Callithrix jacchus: one gene and its partner. The main gene of each other region encodes a partner of the protein of the gene in region 2 in a complex. Links are inferred from orthologs where the notes say so. Each region holds a gene or a part of one and is shown on either strand. Other genes may lie near its edges.

Region 1 (4,517 bases), on a different chromosome or scaffold from region 2:
AAAGCACAATAAATATAAAATGTGGTCCTTCCATGAAATTTTTGATAACATTATCCAAACTCCCACAAAGGTAAAGCTTAAAAGAAGTTTTCTTGGAATTTCAATGATCTTTCTTGTCCCCTACAAAAAGTTCACGAAAGTAACAAAACGAGGGCTGATCCCACCACAGTAAAATGTTTTGGGCCAGGCAGTGTGCAGTATGGATATAAGTACACCCTTTAAATTTTTTTTTTTTTTTTTTTTTTTTAAGAAAAATAAAACTCTCTTTTTGTACAAATATACAAGTCCACGTTCTTTCAGACCCTTTGTGCTCATAATGTCAGACGCTGGCCTGCAAACACACAGTCATCATAGGGGAGCTGAAAACAAAGGGAAAAAAAGAACGTTAAACTTCTGGAGCTCTGCCAAGCTATTGGGATGGGGAAGCTGCTACTGGAAATAACACTTGGACTCCATTCTCCGTAGCCCAAATATAGTGAACTTTACAGGTTGAGGGAGTTTGCCTTTAATGCTTCTCTTTTAAAAAAAACAGTGCGCTATTAAAAAAAAAAAAAGGCACATTCTTGGGATACTGGTTATACACAGAAATTTGAGAGATTCATTACATGGACATTCCTCTAATGAAGAGCAGCTCTAGGGGACTGGGAGGGTGAAGGGAAAGCCCCCCCGCCATTAATTTCACAGAATACTGAAGCAGTTCAGACTCACCTCATCCTCCGTGAATTCTGACTCTGTGTCATAGCTCTCCTCATCCTCACTCTCTGGCAGCATCTGAAGGTTTTCTAGTGTCAGCTGGCCCAGCTGCTGCTGTATCCGGGTGCTTGGGCGACCCCAGGTAAGCTGGTAAGGGGAGTAGCCCTGGTAGGTAACTCTGTTGACATCAGCCCCACACTTCAGCAGGAGCGACACCAAGTCAGGATTCTGCAGGTCCACTGCGAGGTGAAGGGCAGTCCGGCCATTACAGGGCTCCTGAAACCAAAAGGAATTTGAGATGCCTATGGCTGCGTTTGGAATTTCTGCTTGCAACACAAGCACGAGGAGCTTGACTCAGAACATGGGAGGCAGGAAGCACTCACCTGAGCATTGACATCAGCACCCAAGGATACCAAAAGCTCCACGATGCCCAGGTAGCCATGGATAGAAGCTAAGTGCAGACACGTGTGGCCTGGAAGAACAAAAGGAAAAAAGCATAACCATTTGTTTCAACCCTCCTAAAGCAGCACCTTTCACCTATTCTTTTATGGGACAAACAGTCATGTCTTCTGAATTTTAAGAACCCCAGTCTGGGTTCTGAAGGGACTTTTAAAATGTATCCAATAGGCATATTGCACACATCTTTTCTCGATCTTTCACAGGTTGGGAGTTTAAGCTCTTTCCTGGACTCCCTAAGTTGGCCCACGTGCCCTTTCTGCATGTCACCTGCCCTCTGAGGGGGTGGGGCAGGGCAGGAAGGCAGACATACCATTGTAGTTGGTAGCTTTCAGGATGGAGTGGAGGTGTGGGGTGGTGCAGGCCTGAGTCAGGACTCCCACGCTGGCCAGGCAGCCCTGCTCACAGGCAAGGTGTAGGGGGGTATTTCCTCGAAAGTCTCGGAGCTCAGGATCACAGCCAGCTCCCAGAAGTGCCTCAGCAATTTCTGGCTGGTTGGTGATCACAGCCAAGTGTAGTGGAGTCTACCAGTGCAAGAGAAACCAGAGAGAGTAAGCCATGAATCAAACCCACACCCCGAGTTCCCCGGATCCCCAATGTCTCCTGGTTGGGTGCTGCTCCTCCCAGGTGGGAGGGTGGGGAGGGCTGGCAAATAGCAGAGGCTCCAGGTGGGTCATAAAGACCTCACCAAATCCATAGAATTTCCTTCCCTCTCTAGGATGGGGGCTGATGCGAAGTAAACGGCAGGGGTGAATAATGCCCAGTGGCCCTTAATTCAGAAAGGATCTGGGGTGACTCTGCTACATCAGCTCTGTCCCAGGGTCAAAGAAAGCCCGGGCCAGGCACGTGCGCACCTGCTGCAGGTTGTTCTGGAAGTTGAGGAAGGCCACGTCTCCCTTCACCTGGCGGATTACTTCCATGGTAAGTGCCTTTTCTTCATGGATGATGGCCAAGTGCAGGAACCTGTGGGGAAGAGGGAAAAACCCCCAGGGGTGGTGAGTGCACCGCGTGGGGCCCAGGGAGGCGCGGGCTGCGGGGGATTGCGCAAGGCCGGGGTTTCTGGAGGCCGAGGCCGCGGTGTTTTCCGCGAGGTTATTATGAGCTGAGTGTTCCTGGCAGGCGCCCAGGGACTTTCCGCCCCCCTCCTTCAGGCCTCGGCGGGCGCCGGCCAGACCGCCCCGCCCTCCCGCCGGCTCGGAACGCCCTGTACTTCCCCTCCCGGCTGCAAGGCGCCCGCCAGCGGCCAGAAACTCCCGCCCCGCCTTATGCAACCGGGGACTTCGCGTCCCCACCGCCGCCCCGCCCCCGGCCTAGAGGACGGATGGGGGGGAGGGGGCGTGTGGCGACGCTGCGGTCCACCAGAGCCGAGCCTCTGCCCCTCCTAGTCCAGCCGGAGTCCCGCGCGGCCCTGCGGCCCTGCAGCGTTCGGCGCCGTGCAGGAGCCCCGGGGCGCCGCGGTGCTGGCCCGGCTGCAGCGCTGGTCCCCGGGCTCGGGCTGCAGGCCCAGCACCCCCCAAGCCCCGCCTGCGCGCGTCCGGTCCTCCCAACGACCCCTGGCCCGCGCCACTTACGAGTCCCCGTCCTCGGTGAGCTGCTGCTTCCAGGGCTCGGCGCCGTGCTGCGCCTCCTGCGGCTCTAGGCGGATCTCCCGCAGCTCCTTGACCATCTGCTCGTACTCCTCGTCCTTCATAGAGTCCAGGCCGCTGTCGTGGCGGTCGTCCAGCAGCCGCTCCTTCTTCAGCCCATCGCGGAGGCCCTCCATGGCCCACTCGGCTGCCTGGAACATTGCTCGGGCGAGCTGTGGGTGCTGCTGCGGGTGCGCTGGGCCGCGGGCTGCGCGCTGCTTCCTCGCTGGAGCGCTGGCGAACGGTACGGCGGCGCGGGCTGCTGTGGGCTCTGCAGCGCCGCCCCAACGCCCTTATAAACGCTGGCTGGGGATTTCTCTGGGGCGGGGTCAGGCGCGGGGAATTTCCAAGCCAGTCAGACCAGAAAAGAGAACTGGCTTCGTCCTCTGCTAGGGGGAAAAAGAAGCCTAAACCCTGAGCTGGGGTTCATCGGAGAAACTCCCTGCGATGAGGCACTGGGGTCACGGACAGGGAACTTTTTGATGAGCGCCGAGTGGCTGGAAAGTCCTTCCTACCAGGCCCCCTGCCCCCGGTACTTCCCTGCAGCCTGCACCCTGTAATCCTGTCCCTCTGCAAGTTAACCATTTTTCCCTGGGGTTTCCCACGATCGCTTTGAATTGGGGTCGTCGGCTGCTGAGATCCCAAGGACGCCGACCTGATGGGCAGTCCTTCTTTGGGGTTTGCCAACCTGCCGGTCTTTTCCGTTTTTTGATCTTTTGAAAACGCAAGAGTGGAAATGATGGCTGGGTGTAGGGATTTGCTTTCCGCAGACTTCTCTCTAAGGGGAAGGACGCACTGTGATTAGAAGGCTGCAGGCCGCCGACGTGTTTCTACCAATACCAGGCTCTTTGCAGCACCGGGACGCTTAGCTTCTCCACCCCCACCCCCACCCCCACCCCCACCCCCACCCCCACCCCCACCCCCACCCCCACCCCCACCCCCGCACACCCCGCCAGATAGAAGTTGTGAAAGCTTTGGAGTGAAAACCTAAATCCTTGGAGAACTCTCAAATAAGTTCCTATGGAAGAAGAGCTCTGTTGACTGGGGGAGGGGTGAACTCTCCCTGTACGGGGGAAACTGCTAAATAGGACCAGGATTTTCTTCCCCCTAAGTAAAGCTAGGTGCTAATCTTTGTAGTAGTGGTTGTGGATACTTTGCAATAACAAAATAACTATTGTGTTCCTAAGTAGCGATTTTGTTCATGCTCTCTGACCTACATTGTGCTGCTGCAGAGAATGGATCCTGAGCCTACTTCTGGGTGCAAACTGAGCAATTCTCCAGGAACACTTGGAGAAGGAGACTGAAGAATGAGTTTAGTTAGTACCTTAAACCGCGCTTGGACCGTAAGGACCACTAAGAAACTAGTTGCCAGGCATCCTGCGGGAGGCTGAAGGCAGTCTGGTCCTGCCCGCCCCTCCTTGCTCCATTGTCCGGGGGGACGGTAGCAGTTGGACTCATTCATGCCACCCAGGTAGAAAGGGGTTTGGGCTCACTGTGCTCTGGTTTTACCTGCAGAAATAGAATTTTTGCTCTCCACCCCATCTCCACCTCCAAGTCTACAAGTCATGGACTGAATTCTACTTGATAGAGTTGGTATAGGCAAAAGAAAGCAAACTTCAATCAGAGCTCTTCAGGATTAGTCCCGGGAGGCCTCTATAGTTCTGCAGAGATTTCTGGTGATTATTGCAGTCATCTTTACCTTGACTGGCCATGTACTAACCAATCCTTCCCCTCTCTTCAAAT
Region 2 (3,808 bases):
ACCTGCTAGGATGTATAATTATTGAAATATTTTGGGAAATCTAGTGTGCTCTTTAGCATCCAGCAAAAACAAAAACAAACAAATAACAAAACACCAATGTAACTCCAAGACTAGAGCTAGAGTTACTTCTCAGAGGCTTAGGCTCTTGTTTGAGTGTTTAACTTGATGTTTAATGATGCTATTTTGGGTGGAGGAACTTGTTTTTATCTTGTTGGGAGAATATCAGATGGGTCAGTAATAAGAGAATAGTGCTTAATGGGAAGCAGAGAAGGATCTCCATGCTATTTCTCGATTTTACTCTCCCAGTTCTGGCAATAAATGTAATCCCACCATGAAGACAATGGAGAAATTAAGATGAACACTTTACAGAACCAAAGACTAGAGTCTTGCTCTGTTGCCCAGGCTGGAGTGCAATGGCAAGATTTTGACTCACTGCAACCTCCACCTCCAGGGCTTAAACAATTCTCCTGCCTCAGCCTCCCAAGCAGCTTGCCTCCCAAGCGCTTGCCTCCAAGCCTGGCTAATTTTTGTATTTTTAGTAGAGATGGGGTTTTGCCATGTTGACCAGGTGAGTCTGCAACTCACAACCCTCAGATGATCCACCCGCCTCAGCCTCCCAAAATGCTGGGATTACAGGCATGAGTCACTGTACTTGGCCTTACCTGACCTTTTCCATGACGTTAAAATTAGGACTTTGGTTTTTCATCTGAGTTTCTTCATTTGTATATCAGAGAAACTGTTACTTGCTATTCCTTTAATGGGATTCTGAGAATTCAATATAAAGTATTTTTAAAAGGGTATTTATAGTTTATTTTTTCTTTTTAAGATGGGGGTCTCACTCTATAGCTCAGGCTGGAATGCAGGGGTACAACTGTAGCTCACTGCACTCTTAGAACTCCCAGGCTCAAGCAATACTCCTACCTCAGTCTCTCAAGTAGCTGGGACTACAGGCGCATGCTACCATGCTTGGCTACTTTTAAAAATGTTTAATAGAGATGAGGTCTCACTATGTTTCCCAGGCTGGTCTCAAACTCGTCGGTACAAGTGATCCTCCTACCTCAGACTTTCAAAGTGCTGGGATTACAGGCATGAGCCATCGCGTCTGGCTGGTTATAGCTTCTTGTCTGAAGGCATTTAATTATAATCAGTGTCTTCTAAAACTATTAATACACACTGCAATCAGAGTTTCTTGTTCAAGAAAAAGCTCAATTTAACAAAAGAGAAAAATATGGTGTCCCCAAAGAAAAAGTTCCTGCGTCTTTAATTTGCTTTGTTTTCTTGAATTTATGGTGCAGTTACCTTCTACATTAAAAAAAAAAACAAAAACAAAAAAACCCTCTAAAGTAAATCAGATATGTCAGGGCAGGCTTAAGATACCAATTTCATTACACGTATTTTGAGGTTCTAAATATGTAGGGCACTGAAGATTCAAAGATAAGCATGGATAATTTTCTATACTTCATAAGACTAGAAATGGAATAACATCTGCAAACCTATGAGCAAAATAGGAGAATGAAACATAGTAGAGAGAATAAAGTAAAGAGAAGCTCACATTGCCAAAGTGTGACTCACAGCTCTGTCACTTACTGGAACCCTGAATGGAATCTGGTAATCTCTCTCGTCTGTTTCCTTGACTCTAAGATGGGAATAATAATGGTATTTGTTCCAAAGGGTGACTGGACATTAAATGAGACTGTGCACATAAAGTGCTATCACAGGGCTGGGCGTGGTGGCTCACGCCTGTAATCCCAGCACTTTGGGAGGCCGAGGCAGGTGGATCATAAGGTCAAGAGATCGAGACCATCCTGGTCAACATGGTGAAACCCCGTCTCTACTAAAAATACAACAAATTAGCTGGGCATTGTGGTGCGTGCCTGTAATCCCAGCTACTCAGGAGGCTGAGGCAGGAGAATTGCCTGAACCCAGGAGGCGGAGGTTGCAGTGAGCCGAGATTGTGCCATTGCACTCCAGCCTGGGTAACAAGAGCGAAACTCTGTCTCAAAAAAAAAAAAGTGCTATCACAGTGCCTGGTATATGCAAGGTCAATAAGTGCTAGCCATTTTTAGTGTCTTCCACATAATGGGTCTTAATATATGGCCCATTTTCTTTTTCCTATACTTCAATTTCTAAGAGACCATTCTTTCAAAATGAAGTCTTTAAATGATTTCTTATACCAATAATCTTTTTCTTCTGGGGACTTCTGACATTATCTGAGACTGATACTACTCAGAATTCTATAAGGAATCAAACTCTACTTTGAAAAGACCCCTTGTCATGGGAGTCAATCTAAATAATCAAACCCCAAACAAATAGATGAATCAGAAAGTAAAACTGACATGGCTGTGAGGGTAAAGCTCAAGATTACTAGTCCAAACAGTGCCTTATGGCAGATAAAATGTGACTTGCCATATAATTTTTATTTGCCCTTGCTTTTCAGCAGTAGGTCTGTGGCTTAAAGAAGGCAACATGGCTGCTCTATTGAAGTCGGGTTTGCATTCTTGACAACATTTTTCATTAATGACCGCCAGGCCACCTTACCTGCCGCTTTGAGAAGAGCGGCCAGCCTGGTGGACCCTCTCCCAGCTGCTATATGCAGGGGTGTAGTTCCATCGTAGGTAGTACTGTCCACATGGGCATCACCCTACAATCCAGCCCACACAGAAAAGCGTTAGTAGAAGGTTCTTTTGCCCTTTTGTCCCCACCTCCCAGTGTACATGGCCCCTCGGGTCCTATTACTAGCCCCGTTGCTACTTTGGGCTGGCTCTGTCATTGAAGAAATCACCAATTAGAGATGCCAAGCAAGAGTGGGGGGTGGGGAATGTCTGAAGGGGCTACTCTGAAGCCCTTCATAAATGTTAAATAAATAGAGTTGATTGTAGGGAGAACAGCAGCTATTGACTTCATTCTTTGAAGATTTCCTTAAATCTCCCTCAGGAATTCAATGAAAAATAAAATAAGTGTGTCCTTCACCTCAAGGAGCAGGCAGCCAGCCAATGAGATGTTGTCGTGCTCCACAGCTAGGTGCAGTGCTGTGCGTCCGGACTTTTGCTCCTGAGCATTGACGTTGGCCCCAGCGGCCACCAGCAGCAGCAGACATGGCAGGCTATTGCTCATCATGGCTAGATGAATGGCATTCAGACCTAGAGTCCAAGCAAAGGGACAGTCACAGGATGGGATGGATACTCACAAGATGGCCCTTGGTGAAGCTGAAGGAAATGGCAAAAACTGGATCATAGGGAGGGACAGTAAAGGCACTATAAGTCTATTGTTCTGCTTTGAGGACCCACAGTCTCCTATTATGTTCTCAGGAGACACTGGGCATAAACAAACATTCTCTGAATGAATGATGCTTTATGCACTTCAAGATGAATGTTTACTCAGGCCTCTGCTTTTTCCTCCTACTATTCCAAACCATCTTCTAAAAAATTAGCTTTGGTGAGCAACAGAAATGACCAAAAGAGATGATGAATTCCAGGTGACTAAGGAAAGTCCTTTTGGGTACAAATCAAATAACACACATTTATCAAATACCTAGTAGGTATTTACAAGGCAGAAAAAGTTATACCAATGATGTGATTGCCTCTTACCGTCCCCGTTGGGGTAGTCAAGAAGTAGTGCTGCCTTTTTGTGCTTGAGTAAGATACTGAGAACTTTATCATTTCCTTCTTTGGCAGCTAGGTGCAAAACAGAGTTACCGAAGCGGTCCAGAAGGCTCAGGTCGGCCCCGGCCCTCAGCAAATCCTCCACCACATCTTCCTGCTTAGTGATCACTGCCAAGTGCAAGGGTGTCTGGAAAGTAAAGGGGCAG

The links.
Region 1: the proteins of NFKB1 (region 2) and NFKBIA are in contact, whole or in part, in a crystal structure (PDB 1NFI), measured with the Homo sapiens proteins. The link is inferred for Callithrix jacchus from reciprocal best matches to the Homo sapiens genes NFKB1 and NFKBIA. Residues at the interface, in NP_001158884.1 of Homo sapiens: Lys251, Ile252, Val253, Arg254, Met255, Asp256, Arg257, Thr258, Ala259, Pro326, Lys345, Leu348, Tyr350, Ile353; in NP_065390.1 of Homo sapiens: Asn108, Asn109, Leu110, Gln111, Arg140, Tyr181, Pro214, Cys215, Asn216, Arg218, Tyr248, Gln249.

Annotation. Positions count from the first base shown.
Region 1 is NC_133509.1:69,916,124-69,920,640, forward strand, and holds the start of NFKBIA (NF-kappa-B inhibitor alpha), read right to left. Parts: upstream 3,045-4,517; 5' UTR 2,936-3,044; coding exon 2,721-2,935; intron 2,113-2,720; coding exon 2,004-2,112; intron 1,674-2,003; coding exon 1,463-1,673; intron 1,166-1,462; coding exon 1,077-1,165; intron 970-1,076; coding exon 709-969; intron 360-708; coding exon 312-359; 3' UTR 1-311. UniProt on the Homo sapiens protein: Inhibits the activity of dimeric NF-kappa-B/REL complexes by trapping REL (RELA/p65 and NFKB1/p50) dimers in the cytoplasm by masking their nuclear localization signals.
Region 2 is NC_133504.1:94,726,198-94,730,005, forward strand, and holds part of NFKB1 (nuclear factor NF-kappa-B p105 subunit), read right to left. Parts: intron 3,790-3,808; coding exon 3,588-3,789; intron 3,141-3,587; coding exon 2,971-3,140; intron 2,642-2,970; coding exon 2,539-2,641; intron 1-2,538.